2 linked regions of the Oryctolagus cuniculus genome follow. The protein of the gene in region 1 purifies or fractionates together with the protein of each later gene. This does not show direct contact. Links are inferred from orthologs where the notes say so. Each region holds a gene or a part of one and is shown on either strand. Other genes may lie near its edges.

Region 1 (8,278 bases):
TTCATTTTACTACCTGGTTGTTCAAGTGTCTCTTCAACATTGTTTCTTACTTTTTTCATGGCTTTTCATAGCAAGATTTCTTTACCTGTAGTGTCAGAATTGATCATGATCAGGACTAAAGTAGTGGCAGTGGGGACTCAGATCAAGGACAGAGTGAGTGCAGTTGAGAATTTCCATCTAGAGGGCTTTGAGGTCTTTGGATGGTGGAGGAAAGACAGCACCTGATATGAAGCTAAGCCTCCTGGCTTGGGTAACAATGTTAATGGTATTGTTTTTAACTAAGACTGGGCTAACAAGAGAAGCAGGCTATAACAGAGAGGGAGGACCACATGTTAGAATAGATCAGGGGTAGCATGGGAAATTGTAAGAGACTGTTGATTTTGTGAAATGGATGCTTTGCCTAACAGGATAAAAATTCACCTGGAATTTAAAAGAATAGTGAAATCAGCATGGACTAGATATTAACTAGAATTTGCTGTATCTAATGGATGTTTGACTTTTAAATAAATATTTTATTTATTTGAAAGGCAGGGTCAGAGAAAGAGGGAGAGAGGAAGAGATCTTCCATCTATTGGTTCATTTCCCAAATGGCTGCAGTGGCCAGGGCTGGGATGGGCCGAAGCCAGGAGCCTGTAACTACTTCTAGGTCTCCCAAGTAGATAGCAGGGACATAAATACTTGGGCCATCTTTTGTTGCCTTCCCAGGTACATCAGCATGGAGCTGGATGAAAAGTAGAGCAGTGGAAATTGAACTGGTACTCAAATAGGATGCCGGCATCCCAGGTGATGGCTTAATCTGCTGTGCCAGAACTCCAGCCTCTGGACATATGATTTCTTTTTAAAGATTTATTTATTTTTATTTGAAAGTCAGAGTTACAGAGAGAAGGAGAGGCAGAGAGAGAGAGGTCTTCCAACTTCTGATTCACTCCTCAACTGGCCGCAAAGGCTGGAACTGTGCCGAATCGAAGCCCAGGGCAAGGAGCCAGGAGCTTCTTTCGGGGCTCCCATGCTGGTGCAGGAGCCCACACACTTTCCCAAGCCATACCAGAGAGCTGAATCGGAAGAGGAGCAGCTGGAACTCCAACTGGTGCCCATATAGGATGCCTGTGCTGCAGGTGGTGGCTTTACCCGTTATACCACAGAGCCAGACCCTGGACATATGATGTCTAAGTAGCAGCCTGCAGCAGTCCTTGTCATATAATCTACTATGTGAAATATGCTGTTAGGCTATAAGTAACTTTTTTTTTTTTTTTTTTTTTTTTTTTGGACAGGCAGAGTGGACAGTGAGAGAGAGAGACAGAGAGAAAGGTCTTCCTTTTTTTGGCCGTTGGTTCACCCTCTAATGGCTGCCGCGGCCGGCGTGCTGCGGCCGGCGCACCGTGCTGATCCGATGGCAGGAGCCAGGTACTTATCCTGGTCTCCCATGGGTGCAGGGCCCAAGTACTTGGGCCATCCTCCACTGTATTCCCGGGCCACAGCAGAGAGCTGGCCTGGAAGAGGGGCAACCGGGACAGAATCCGGCGCCCTGACCGGGACTAGAACCTGGTGTGCCGGCGCCGCCAGGTGGAGGATTAGCCTAGTGAGTCGTGGCGCCGGCCAACTATAAGTAACTTTTGTAGTTGATTGAAGAACCTAAGCTTGGGGAGTGGACTTCCCAGGTTTGGGAGATTTTGATACAAAAAATGTTGCAAGTAGAGTTATTGTGGGAAAATCTGTTGATGTAACCGGGCATAAATTCTAGTTTTGATAAGAAAGAAATAAATTCTAGCAGAATATTATAAATGTAAAATATTATTATAAAGAATTGAAAGAGTTTTATAAGCACTTTATAAAAACAAGGCTATATTTTTATTCCTAGTCACCTCCATGCAGAATATGACCAAGCTGGGATGACCCTGACTCTCTTTACCTATTTATTCTGCAGTCTAGGGCTACACCAAATAGGTAGTCTGGAGTCTAATTTATAAGGAGAACATGCAGCTTCCTGGCACCTTTCCGCTGTATCTATACCAATCAATTTTCCTTAAAAACAGAAAATATCATTTTGAATTGTGCACTGTAGCTCTAACATACTGTTTCTTTTAGTTAGACACAGAGAACATAGAGGGAGATAATTTTTTAAAGATTTATTTATTTATTGAAAGGCAGAGTGACAGATTGAGAGAAAGAGAGAGAGAGATAGAGAGAGAGAGAGAGAGAAGTTTGTGTCTGCTAGTTTACTCCACAAATGGCTACAACTATAAACTCTGGGCCAAGCCAAAACCAGAAGCCAGGAACTCCATCTGGATCTCATACAAGGGTGACTGGGCCATCTTTGCCTTCCAAAGGACATTAGCAGGAAGCTGGATTATAAGTGGAGTAACCAGGACTTGAATGGGTGCTCTGATATGGGATGCCAGCGATGTGAGTGGCAGCTTAACTGAGCATACAATAACACCAGCCCCAAGTCGGGAGAATTTTTAAGAGATTGGTTTTCATGAGGTTTCCTCTCTGCCTTTGAAGTTGGGCATTTTTTTCTCCCTAAATTTGGGCTATAGGATCAGAATTATTTAATTTTGGACTTGGAATTAGTTACACAATTCATTTGACTCCTTGTACTTTTTCTACAGGTAGTGAATGAGGCAAATGAGGATCAGAGAAGGCAAGGACCAAGTCAGTCTATAAATCAAAAGTAGAGCTAAATCCAGGAAACAGGTTTTCTAACAAGTGACTGGAGCACTTTCCACTATAATGTGGAGATTCTAAAATTCATATTGCCTTACAATTTTAATGTAGTATATCACTTTGCTCATTGTATCCCCTGCCCTGCCCCCAACCTTCCTTTAAGATTCAGCAAAATTCTAATGCGGAAGAATTAAAAATGGTTTCAGTACTCTCTCCAGAGTATCAGATTTCTGAAAAGAGCTGACACAAAGCACTTTCACAACCAAATTTAATATAAAACCACTGACAGTATGCAAATAAGGCCCAAAGCCACACTTTACAAATGAGCTAGAGAAATAATGAATTAATGTGGTGCCGTTTTTAAGTTTAGATTTCGGTACTACTTTCCTGTTCTTTTCTGATGGATAAGCCATAAGCAACTCCAAACGTGGGTTTGCCATTGCTATAGATACACACCTGGACAGCAACACAGCGGCTAGTAACTGTTCTCATGCTTTTTTGGCAGTGTCTGTTCAACGCATTTACCCCACCCCCATCCTGTTCTACTTGGGTGTCAGGAGGATAGGAAGCCACAATAAGAACAAAAGAGCTGTAACACGGTCTCCTGTCTCCTCCCTCTTTCCTACTGTCCCCACTTAGAACCCACAGGCTCTGGTGTGATGTTCCCTGCATGCCTGGGGGAGGAATGATGAGCAAGGGCTGACGCTGCAGGCAAGTGACACCCCGAAGCTGTAGATTTCTTCAAGTCCAGGTCCGCACCAACCCAAGGCAGAGCGATGGCCTTATCTCTGGAAGAATTCATCCACTCCCTTGATCTCAGGACCCTCCCCAGAGTCCTAGAAATCCAGTCAGGCATCTATTTTGAAGGTAAGCACTCTCTAATTCCTTGCCTGGCTAGAAAGTACTTCTAAGTGGGAATTTGTGGGGGGAATTCTGGTAAAGAGTATGAGTTCCATAGCAGAAAGGGAAAAGGTAATTAACTGATGAATGGTCAAGGCTCAAAAGTGTTAGAGAAGGGAGACCCTAGAGAGGACTCCAGGTGGGAAGGGAGAAGGGATTGAGCACATCTTAAACTTTTTGTAGGCTTTCAGTGGTTTTCACATGATGGCAAATCAAGGTTGAGCTTTCTTTGAAATTCACTGTAACCCATAGTGAAAAGTTTAAAGTTATCAATAATTATGTTTGTAACACATAAAAATGCATGGATACCGTATTATTTGATATGTAGATATTTTAAAATATGTCTTCATTGAAGTATATTCTCTACATAATAATATATTCTTTTCTCACACGCACTTAAGTGAGATTTTTTAAAGAGATGATTAGGTCACGAGGACTTGGGTCACAAGGACCCTGCCCTAATGAACAGATTAATGTTATTATCATGGGAGTGGATTGCTTATCCTCAAGTCTTAGTTTTAAAAGTTTCTCTTGAGTGACAGTTCTTGCCCGCGCTCTGCCTCAAATGTTTGCTGCCCTTCCACCATTTTATGCCACAGCAAGAAAGCCCTCACTAGGTATGGCTCCTTGATCTTGGGCTTCCTAACTTCCAGAACTATGAGAAATAAACTTCTCACATTTATAATTGAAAGAGAAATAAAAGCACAGAGTGTAGAAGTAAATGTTCTTCAAACTCTTAAGTACTTCTATTGCTGGTATCAACATTTCTTTCTCGCTTTCTGTAGTGGCCTAACTCTTAATTCCTTAAATAATGATAATTTTTATTTGAAGGTATAGAAATTAATCTCTATGAATCACAAGGTTATTTTTCAAAATCTTTGCTGAAAATCAGAGTCCACTGATAATTATGGAATAAAAAACGACTGAGTTTTGGTGTAACTTACTACAGTATGTTAATTCACATAATTATTAAAATATCCAAATAATTTTTGAGAGTGTTTATGAGGTTAGTTTTAGCTATGCAAAACAATGATTCGTTTTCTAGATAAACATAAGAGGGTTTCAAAAATTAACAGAAAATGCACATTATTTTAATTTCACTTTGCCATGAATATTTGGAAACTTCCTTATATAGCTTTCTAGTCATAAGAAATTGAAGCAAGAGTTTCAGGTCTAATCTTGGAAAATAAAGCATTATTTTTATTTTCCTGTTCATTGATAGAAGAATGTACACACATTCTCTTAATCAACATGGTTCAACTTACAAGGCTTGACTTGATTTTCCTGCACAATGGTACAAAAGCATACTCATACAACTGTTCTGTTTTTACACTCTCAATATAACATTCAATAACCTGAGATTTTAACATTTTATTATAAAGTAAATTTTGTGTTCAATAATTTTATATCACTGTAGGCAGTTCAAAATTCTGAGCACATTTAGGGTGGGGAAAGCTTAGCTATGATGTTATATTGGATGTATTAAGTACATTTTTGATGTAACTGTGTTTTCAATATAACAATCAGCTTATCCAGATATAATCCAATTATGAGTCAAAGTGTGTCTATTAAATGATGAAATAAAAGAAGGATGGACATGTCATCTTTGGGTCGTATGCATAGGCACGAACAATCCTTACATTACTCTCCCCACACCCTGCTTCAACTTCATATGCCCTGCAGGCAGTGGATTGACACAGGCTATTACAACTCAGTATAGGAATTTGTTTAATTCAATTGTAAATTGATTATTTAAAATCAGATCGAATTTTGTCCCAATACTGTATTATAAGTGTCTCTGTTTCTAAAGCAGCTCCAAATCTTTTCTTAACTCATGCTTTGTGCATTGGAGGCTTTGTGTCAAAAGTCTTTCTTCATGCCTAGGTTACAAAGGCTTTAAAAATTTTTATTTAGGGAATACAAATTTCATGCATTTCATATGTACAAATTTAAGAACATAGTAATTCCTCCCTCCCTACCCTTCCTCTCACCTGCACTCCCACCCTTCTTGCATCTCTCTCTCCTATTCTCATTTTTATATTTTTGCAAAGATCTATCTTCAGTTAACTTTACACTCATAAGATTAATCCTACATCAAGAATTCAACAAATAGTATTCAGGAAAAAAAAAAAAAAACACTTTTCCTCAACAGTCAAGACAAGGCTGTTTAAAATCATGGCATCTTGAAGTGTCAATTTCACTCTTGTACATTACCTTTTAGGTACTCTATTAGTTACCACAGATCAGAGAGAATATATGGTTTTTGTCTTTTGGGGACTGGCTTATTTCACTAAGTAAAATGGTTTCTAGTTTCATCCATTTTGTTACCAAAAAAACAGGATTTCATTCCTTTTTATGGCTGAGTAGTATTTCATAGTGTATATATACCATAATTTCTTTATCTAGTCTTTAGATAATGGACATCAGGATTGATTGTGTATCTGGGTTGATTGTGTATCTTAGCTATTGTGAATGAGCTGCAATAAACATGGGGATATAGATCACTCTTTCATATCTGATTTCTTTTAGTTTGGATACATTCTCAGGAGTGGGGTAGCTGGGTCGTATGGTAGGTTTATATTCAGATTTCTGAGATAACTCCATACTGTCTTCCACAGTGGCTGCACCACTTTGCATTCCCACCAACAGTGGATTAGGGTACCTATTCCCCCACATCCTCACCAGCATTTGTTGTTTGTTGATTTCTATATAAGAGCCATTCTAACTGGGGTGAGGTGAAACCTCATTGTGGTTTTAATTTGCATTTCCCTGATGACTAGTGATCCTGAGCGTTTTTTATGTCTCTGTTGAACAAAGGCTTTTTATTACATTAGTTTACAACAACTCTATGGTTTCGTAGTTTGCATTTAGAATTTGGTTCAATTGGACAGTACTTTGCCCTGAGGTTTACAGGGACCCAATTTTACTTTTCTCTACGTGATTAACCTGATATCCAAGCACCATTGATTTAGCTGGCCATCTTTCCCTTACTGACTTGTGTTGCTACCTATAACTCTTATTAAATGTTCCCATCTGTGTCAATCTGTCTCTGAAATTACATTAGTCTTTTATTTCATAATTGTGCCCAAAATCTCACTATTTCTTTAAATGGTGGAATAAGTGATATGATCATTATATGGACCATTCCTTTGTTTCCCTTGTTTTCACTATTTTTTTCTAAGTTGATTTAGCTTTTTTTTTTTAAGATTTTATTTATTTATTTGAGAGGTAGAGTTACAGACAGTGACAGGGAGAGAAGAGAGAAAGTCTTCCATCCATTGGTTCACTCCCCAGTTGGCCGCAATGGTCGGCCAATCTGAAGCCAGGAGCCAGGAGCTTCTTCCTGATCTCCCATTTGGGTGCAGGGTCCCAAGGACTTGGGCCATCTTCTACTGCTTTCCCAGGCCACAGCAGAGAGCTGAATTGGAAGAGGAACAGCTGGGACTAGAACCGGTGCCCATATGGGATGCAGGTGCCACAGGGGGAGGATTAAGCATATTTTCAAAAACATTACTGATTAGTAAAAAAATTCAGCAGGAATTCTTATTTGCTTGGGTTGATTTTCTAAATAAATTTGGGTAGAACTGACATTTTTATATGGTCTTACAAAAGAACATAGTATGTCTCTCCATGTTTTCAGAACATCTTCATACTTTATTAATATATTATGTTACACTTCAATTAAGATGAATTTTCACAAAGCAAGCAAATTCATGTAATCGATACCTTGATGAAGAAATAGAGAATTACAAGTGTTCTAGAAGCCCTGACTTGTGCCCTTTTGCAATTATCATCTTTGATTGTTCCCCCAAGTTATTCACTATCATGATTTTGGTTCATTATGAATTTTATATAAATGGAAAATCATGGTAGGTGTTCTGTCCTGATTAAAATGTTTGTCATTATATCTATAAAAATAGTCTATACTGCTGTATATAGTTCATTAATTTTCAGTACATATAATGTTCCTTTTTAGAAATATTATCACAATTTATTTATCCACTCTATTCCATTTGAGCATTTGGATTATTTCCAAATATTTCCACGTTATCATGAAATTCTTATTCATGTGTACTCACAATTACACGAACTCAGCTAGGTATAAAAACAAGTGGAGTTTCTATGTCATAGTGTATGTGTATGTTCAGACTTGCTAGGTAATGAAAAACAAGTTTTCTAAGTAGTCAGATTTACATTCCCACTGTGAGAATCTGACACTTCCAGTTAATCCATTTGCCAACTAACACTTGATGTCACCAGGCTTACTTACAGTCATTCTAGTGAGAGTTTAGTGCTGCATCACAGTTTTAGTTTTAGTTTTATTTTGGTAAAATTTACATGTACTATTTGGCACACTGTCTGTTATGTGATTTGCAAATGTCATTCAGTTTGTTTCTTGAAATTTCATTTTCTTAATGGTGTCTTTTGATAGATGGAAGTTCTTAATTTTAGTGTTAGTATTATCATTTTTTAATTATTTTACATTCAGTGTACTGTCAAGAACATTTCTTTATTCTAAGTTAATGAAAATACTTTGTATTATCTTCTAGAAATTCCATTATTTACTTTCACCTTCGGATCTGCAATCCACCTGGAGTTTATTTATTTTGGTTTTTGTACAGATTTGAGAATGAAGCCAATATTTCCTTTTTTTCTCCTATAGAGATAATGGGCACAGGGATACTGAAACATTGTCTTTTTCCTACTGTCTTGT
Region 2 (7,485 bases), on another chromosome or scaffold:
CACGCGCAAGACTCAGACGGGGCCCCAGCCTCCTGGTCTCAGTCTGGCGAAAACCCAGCTGTTGAGGGCGTTTGGGGAGTGAACCAGTGGATAGAAGAGCTCTGTCTCTGTGTCTCTTTCTATCCTTCTGTTTTTCAAATAAAATGCAAATAAAGAAAAGAAATAAAAATAAAATGACAACTGGGATCTTGTTAATTATTTGGCCCCAGACCTCTCTATATATGCTGCTTCTGTACAATTAAACAATCCAGTGTCTCCCTGTGGACTGAGAATTCACTACACTCATTCACAGGTGCCTTACGCTGGCTAAGCCAACATTGACAGCGTGGCTGCTATCCCACTGGATATTTCAAGTAGGTGGCGGGTCCCTGTTTGAGACACAGTTTTCTGGAAGGCACTAAACAGAGAGGAGCAGGCAAATGGCACTGATGTTTAGACGTCTCCCCATCTGCAGCACAGCAACAGGGCTGAGGGGGCTCGGAGAGGGGGCGGGCACAGCTCCCCAAAGGAGCAGTCCTCTCCTCCCTCCTCTCGTTTCAGCAGGTTCCTCATTAACACAGTTTTGTGTCTGTTATGAAAAGCTTCAAATGGAAAGGTGCCAATTCCGCATCCTTCTTCATTATGCACAGCTTATTAAAACTGAAATTTCACTGTTTCCAACTAGACCAAATTAGTAGTTCAAACCACTGTGCGCTATTAAGAGTGAGGCATTCATTTTAGAAGATGGAATCAGAATAAACATGGCCTGGATCAAAGCTGGAACAGGTTGGAAACACCAAGGCTTTGAGGGCTGAGCTTGCCACGTGAGCCTGGGAAAATCGCAGGCATGGCACGGCAGCTGCTCCACCTGGCGGGCCCCTCCCTGGGTGCCTCTGTACCAAACAGAGTGGCAACTAACTACTGCTTCCAGGAAGCCCTTCTAGGTGGGTACTTGTTTCCACCCCCAAATAAGCACAGGTGCCTATCAGAGCCTGGGGCCCCGCTCAGGAGGAAAGCACCCCCAGGCTGCCCGGAGAGGATGTGAAAACCTGCACGCCAGCCCCTCCTGGCTTGTACCTGCTCCTCCTCGATCCTGCGCTGTAGTGTTTCAATGTAATGCTGGACAGCCATGTAGATAAAGCGGTACTGCGCCTCTGTCTGCACCATCCCTGACCTCTGAGACCGCACCATCTGAATGGTCTTGGGCACGTCAATGTCACAGTCAACACCTGCAAAGCAACCAACCACCACGAAGCATTAGGAGACTGCAGGGTCAGCGAGAAGCTCGTCCACATCCAGCTCTTAGCAGATGCGAGAGGAGGCAGATTCGCTAAGGTGCGAGCTGAGCACGTTCCCCTGGGCTGTGGCCCAACCCCAGCGACCCAGGAAGACGGCAACGTGTCAGACACCAGGATTCCGACTCCCCTTTCCAGTCCTGTAAGCCAGCACTCGGGAGCTGGGTAGGAACCCACCACTGCCTTCACGACAAAGGCCGTGGCAGTAGGGTCCTCAGCTCCTGGGCTGCATCTGAGGCCAAAAGCTCACACAGCACAACTTCCGTTCTCACGTGAACTGAAAGCAGAAGTGCCAGCCCGTTTCCGTGAGACGCTTTCACATTCGAATTCCCTTCCCCAGCGCCTTCCTTCCAGGAACTAACAGCCGGAGCTGCAGCTTCTGGCCCTCCGGGAGACCTACCTTTTTCTCTGATGATGTCAATAAGGATATCAATCACAATAAACGTCCCTGTCCGGCCGATTCCAGCACTGTGGGCAGAAGGACAAGACGCAGGGAGAGTGGAATCACTCACGGGAGTTTTATACCCAAAAACCAAGCTATTAATATTAACAGAAACAATATCTGCTCTTGGGAGTACTTATAACATAGTATGTTTATATCTGAAGATATATTAGCAACGAACACAGAGCTTTGCCATCAGCCAACCAGGGCTTAAAGCCCAACTTCTCCAGTACCGTGTGCCTGAGGCAAGCCCTGCAGTGTCCCCTCCTGTGCAATGGGGACAACAGCAATGCTTCACAGACTACGGTGAGGATAAGACATAATAATGGAGGGGGGCCGGCGCTGTGGCGTAGCAGGTAGCACTGAGCCTGCAGTGCCGGCATCCCATATGGGTGCCAGTTCGAGTCCCGGCTGCTCCACTTCCAATCCAGCTCTCTGCTGTGGCCTGGAAGATGGTCCAAGTCCTTGGGCCCCTGCACCCATGTGGGAGACGAGGAAGAAGTTCCTGGCTCCTGGCTTCAGATCAGCGCAACTCCCGCCCTTGCAACCATTTGGGGAGTGAACCAGCAGATGCAAGATCTCTCTCTCTCCGCCTCTGCTACTCTGTAACTCTGCCTCTCAAATAAATAATTTTTTTTAAAAAATAATAATGTAGGAAAAGCACTTAATTCAGAGGTTAGGACAATAAATGGCAGTTTTTTAAAAAACAGAACAAGTAAGTCCTCTCACACATCTACTTGTCCAACACACAAATGAGATTAGGAAATCAGACTTCCCCAAGTACAATCACGAAGCGCAGACTTGGATACCAGCAGCCAGCACATTCTGGTGCAGGGCTCGGCTTCCATCAAAGGCCTCGGCACGAAGCAGTTGGAATCTTTTGAAGCAAATAAGCACAAGGACAGGGTCGGGGAAAATACGTGAGGGGACATCAAAAAGTTTGTGGGAAGTGGAGCTAAAAGATAAGTTTCCTTGGGTGCAAAGAAAAATTGTGAAATCTACACACAGCATTTTAGAACATGCATTTTCCACTAACTCGGTGAACACCCTTCATCTCTTACTTCCTCAGCGGAAGAGAACAGAATCACAAAGAGATGGACCCTAAATTACTGGATTTCAAAAGAAAACGTAGTCAGAAGCACTAGACGGGGCGTCGGTGAGAACAAGGGCTGTGTCCAGCCCGCCCACCAGCCCGACCCCGCAGTCCTGCAGGGTCTGTAGGAAGCGAGCATCCCTACTGCAGCCTGTTCAGGCCTTAAGCACAGGTAAACTGCCAGGGATGGCCGGTGAAAGCAGCCCTGGGGGGCAGGCACAGGCTGCGGCAGGAGGGGCAGGGGCTGTCACCTGCAGTGAACCACGACCGGGCCGGCGTCCATGATGCTCTCCTGCTTGTGGTGGACCTCCTCCAGGAAGTCCAGCACGCCCCCGGGGTCGCTGGGCACGCCGTGGTCCGGCCAGGTCCGAAAGTGGTATTGCCAGACCGTTCTCTCCGTATTCCCCTGGAGTAGAGCCAAGAAAAACCAGAACCGAATTAAATAAATCAAGGGGTGGAGGAGCCGCCCGGTTCTGAGCTTTCCCACCTGCTACGGAAGTCACCGGTGCTGGCGGGCCCAGCGGCGCTCAGTCGCCACCTAAAGGCCCACTTGAGTCTCCAGGGCGCTCCCGTGCCAAGAAGCCAAGCAGACAGACTTTGGGAGTCGGGTGGGGAGGTTTAGGCTCAAACCCCAGATATTCACACTCACTCCAGCCCTTGGGCAGCTCTGAGCCTCAATGTCTCCATGTGCAAAATGTGAAGAATCACCTCTCTCTCGCCGCCTCTCTATACCACTGTGGGGACGGACAGCTCAGCGGCACACTGCCACTGGCCAGCACCCGAGGGCTGATCTGAGGACAGGGATCGCAAACAGAGACAGCGAAGGCCCCGAGACTGCAGGAGACAAGGGGGATTATGTCTGTGCTCAGCCCAGCCCAGGTCACTGCAGTGGCACTAGTCATGGCTACCCAGTCCCTGCATATCTGGGGACAACCCAAGGCAAGCGACAATTACAAAGGTAGCTGCCAAGCAGAAATGAGAGACCGAGGTGCCGGAGACGCTTATCTTCGGTTCTGTTGACAAATGCCCCATCTTCTCATCACCACGGGTTTCTGAGTAGCTGTCAGGACACCCCCCACACCCCCCGCCACCTCCCCGCGTAGCTCCTTTGCAGTAGCACACTGGCCCAGGAGTTTGGCACCCTGGGTGCAGGTGCTGATGGAAGACTGCTGGTTTCTCCTGAATCCTGGTAATGTGGTTTCTATTTTGTACAGAATTTTATATTTTCTCTAAAGCACTGCCATGCAACATCACATAAGCTCCACCCTGCCCAGGAAGGAAGAATTAGGGCAGAGACCTTGTTGACCGTTTTCCAAGGTGCAGGGCGTGGACATGCAGCCACTCTGGGGGCAGGTCTCTCACTCCCTGACAGTGGAGCTGCCTGGTTTAGGGGCCACCCTGGAACATCAGCTCTGAGAGAGACCTGCCCCACGGACTCCATCTCAAGGCCCCAGTCACTCAGGAACACACCAACCACCCTGGGCCCCTACAGACTGAACTCAGGGAGCTCAATTTACTCTAAATGTCCTTTCTCCCCAGGCACTGGGAGGGCACAGCCATGCCTGTCTCGTTCACATGCACCAGGAGTGCCTGACTGTGCTTGGCACACAGAAGGTATCCCAACAACGGCTACTTAATCAATGTGTGAAGCCAGGCAGGAGTGCACGCACACAAGCGTAGCTGCAGGACCCTGGACCACTGCACACCACGAGCCCCGGCCTCTAAAATACGACAATATACTTACTTGTCCGACCTTCGAAAGTTTAAGTTCTCTTAAGGTATAGTCATGAGCGGCACTTTCTTTGACGTTCCTAACACGCATGACACCGTATTCTTTTAGAGCATACTCATCGGGCCAGTATTTGACACATTTACTCTGGAAGGGACCAGAGAAAAGACAGTTAACCTCCGTGAGCTCCCAACAAAAGCCTAGGCTGGCAGCAAACAGTCTAACAGGGAAATGGCACGTCTGGCTTCTTCGTGTGGCTCAACAGTTAACTCACGACCTGGGACAAGCGCAGCCCCTGTCAGAGCTGGGTGCCAGCCCTGGCTACTCTGCTTCCTGGAAATTCAGCTTCCTGCTAACACAAGAAGGCTGATGCTGGGAGGCAGTAGATTACAGCTCAAGTCCTTGGGCTCTGCCACCCATGTGAGAGACCCGGACTTGAGTTCCGGGTTCCTGGCTTTAGCATGACCCAGCCTTGACTGTTGCAGGCATTTGTGGCGTCAAATGGGGATGGAGGACTTCTCTCCCTCACACACACACACTCACTCTCTCTTACTCTCTCTGCCTTTGAAACAAAATGAAAATAAATAGATAAAAATATAAGGAAGGAAGGGCTCAAAGAAGAAAAGCAGGTGCTGGGCCGGCGCCACAGCTCAATAGGCTAATCCTCCGCCTGTGGCACCAGCACCCCAGGTTCTAGTCCTGGTCAGGGCGCTGGATTCTGTCCCGGTTGCCCCTCTTCCAGGCTAGCTCTCTGCTGTGGCCCGGGAGTGCAGTGGAGGATGGCCCAAGTGCTTGGGCCCTGCACCCCATGGGAGACCAGAAGAAGCACCTGGCTCCTGGTTTCGGATCAGCGCAGTGCACCGGCCACAGCAGCCATTGGAGGGTGAACCAACAGTAAAGGAAGACCTTTTTCTCTGTCTCTCTCACTGTCCACTCTGCCTGTCAAAAAAAAAAAAAAAAAAAAAAAAAAAAAAAAAAAGGAAAAGAAAAAAAAAAGAAAGAAAGAAAGAAAAAGAAAAGAAAAGAAAGAAAAGCAGGTGCTTAGAGAAGTGGGACGAGAACCGGGCTCTCCCGGAGCTGCCCATCAAGTCACGGTCAAAGGCGAGTCCACGCTTGCTCATCTCTAAGGGAACAAGCCCCAGAGAGGGAGGGGCTCCAGTTTGTTGCTGTCTAGCACCACGGAGTCTGGAGTCCTAGAGATCTGCCAGTCACTCTGAGGGCAAGGCAAACAAGGATGTGGAGGCGGCTGAGCTGCCCACCGAGCCAGACCGTCTGGTTCATTTCCGCACCTGTGTAGGAGGACTCGAGGCCTTCTCTCACCCAAGTGTGAACAGCTCTGTCACGGAAAGGCAGCCTACGGGGCTTTGACCCAACTGCTTCTTCTATCCCCAGACCCATCTGATACCTACTATGCGCGTCACTTCCCCTGAACTGAGTGCCCAGCCCGCGGTCGCTGCTGGCTTCAGGAGCAGGCGAGCTGAAAAGCGCGGCACCAAGGAAACCGTTTCCGCTGCCAAAAAGGGAGCCGTTTTGCTCAATGGGAGGTGTGTGTGCATCTATCTGCTGATGGGTTCCGGGCAGGGAAAGGTTTTATGTTTTGTTTTTCTCTGGGGACAGTCGCCCATTCCACAAACTTCCTAAAGCCATCAAGGCACAAATATCAGCAAGAGAAATGGATCTTGCAGATCAGGAAGAAAGTCCCAGCTATGAGGACAAGCATGGAGCCCCGTGGCTGACTCATTTCCCTACCAGGATTCCTGGGTTCAGTTCCCCACAGCAGCTCCTGACTCCAGCTCCCCGTTAATGTACCCTCTAGGAGGCAGTGGGGACGGCTCAGATAACTGGGTTCCTGCCACCCCACCCACCTGGGGATGTGGATTGAGTCCCCGCTCCCAGCTTCAGCCCTGGCCCAGCCCCAGCTGCTGTAGTTCTTTGGAGGAATAAACTTGCAGGTAGAAGCACGCTCCTTCTGGTTCCCACCCTCTCTCTCTTTGCCTCTCAATTAATTAAAATGGCTTTATTTTAAAAAGAAAAAAAAAAAAAAAACTAGTTACAAAGCTCGTGTTAAGAGAGCAACTGCTAACATCGTCACAGTCCACGATTACCTGAAAGAAAACGTGGTAGGAGGAAGTTTCAACACAAGGATGCGGTCTCTTGTTCCTATTCTGGATTCAGCCTCTCCTCTGGTACTCTGCAGATCAAACCAACTCCTGATACAATGTTTATTTTCCCCAAAGAGTACTCAACGTACTCCATGCCACTGCTGGACAATCCGTTCTGAGAACACTGCAGTCACCACAGAGAACTCGGCAGAACGGAGCGGGCGACGATCCTGGACCGTCCCAGCCGACCTGAGGCGCCTGCGCACTGCTGCAGCCCTCCCCCGGGTTGCCCAGACTCTACAAACCTCGGAGACCGATTCTAAGACACGAGGGCTGACACGTTCTTTTCAACTGAAGCTCAGGAACCAAAGGAGTCCAGGGTCTGGTGTTCCTCTGAGTCCTGGGGGTACCAAGGTCATCAGAAAGACCAGTGGAGAGGGTAAAGGCTCGCTGTGCCTTCCGCTCTGCGGCCCCAAACCAAGGAGGGAGGGTGGGAAAGCAGGCAGAGACCGGGCGGGGCAGTGAGGAATGCGGCCGAGCGCTCCGGCCCAGGTCTGTGTGCAGCAGCTCTGAGGGGGACTGCCACTGCTTCCTCGGAGGCCACGCGAGAGCCTCTCTCCACAGCCCCCCCCACCCCGAGGACAGGCGGCCTCCCACATCGGCCTCCGGGGAGAAGGACAGAGGGCCTCCAGCGTCTCTCCGTACGTAGCACAGGCAACTCTCGCCCGAAGCAGGAACTGTGAAGAGTCTGGACAGGTCCGTTCATTCAAGAACACTCCATCGCCTGCAGGCAGCTGCCGCGGGCAAGCTCTGCCGCACAGCTCACCAGGTCTGGCCTCTCACGT

The links.
Region 2: the proteins of THEMIS (region 1) and PTPN11 purify together in Homo sapiens (co-immunoprecipitation; 3 studies listed by BioGRID and IntAct, counting the BioPlex papers as one, with this or other methods). This does not show direct contact. The link is inferred for Oryctolagus cuniculus from reciprocal best matches to the Homo sapiens genes THEMIS and PTPN11.

Annotation. Positions count from the first base shown.
Region 1 is NC_091436.1:41,531,539-41,539,816, forward strand, and holds the start of THEMIS (protein THEMIS), read left to right. Parts: upstream 1-3,235; 5' UTR 3,236-3,440; coding exon 3,441-3,531; intron 3,532-8,278.
Region 2 is NC_091452.1:9,790,345-9,797,829, reverse strand, and holds part of PTPN11 (tyrosine-protein phosphatase non-receptor type 11), read right to left. Parts: intron 4,686-7,485; coding exon 4,554-4,685; intron 3,228-4,553; coding exon 3,061-3,227; intron 1,743-3,060; coding exon 1,675-1,742; intron 1,209-1,674; coding exon 1,057-1,208; intron 1-1,056. UniProt on the Homo sapiens protein: Acts downstream of various receptor and cytoplasmic protein tyrosine kinases to participate in the signal transduction from the cell surface to the nucleus. Positively regulates MAPK signal transduction pathway. Dephosphorylates GAB1, ARHGAP35 and EGFR.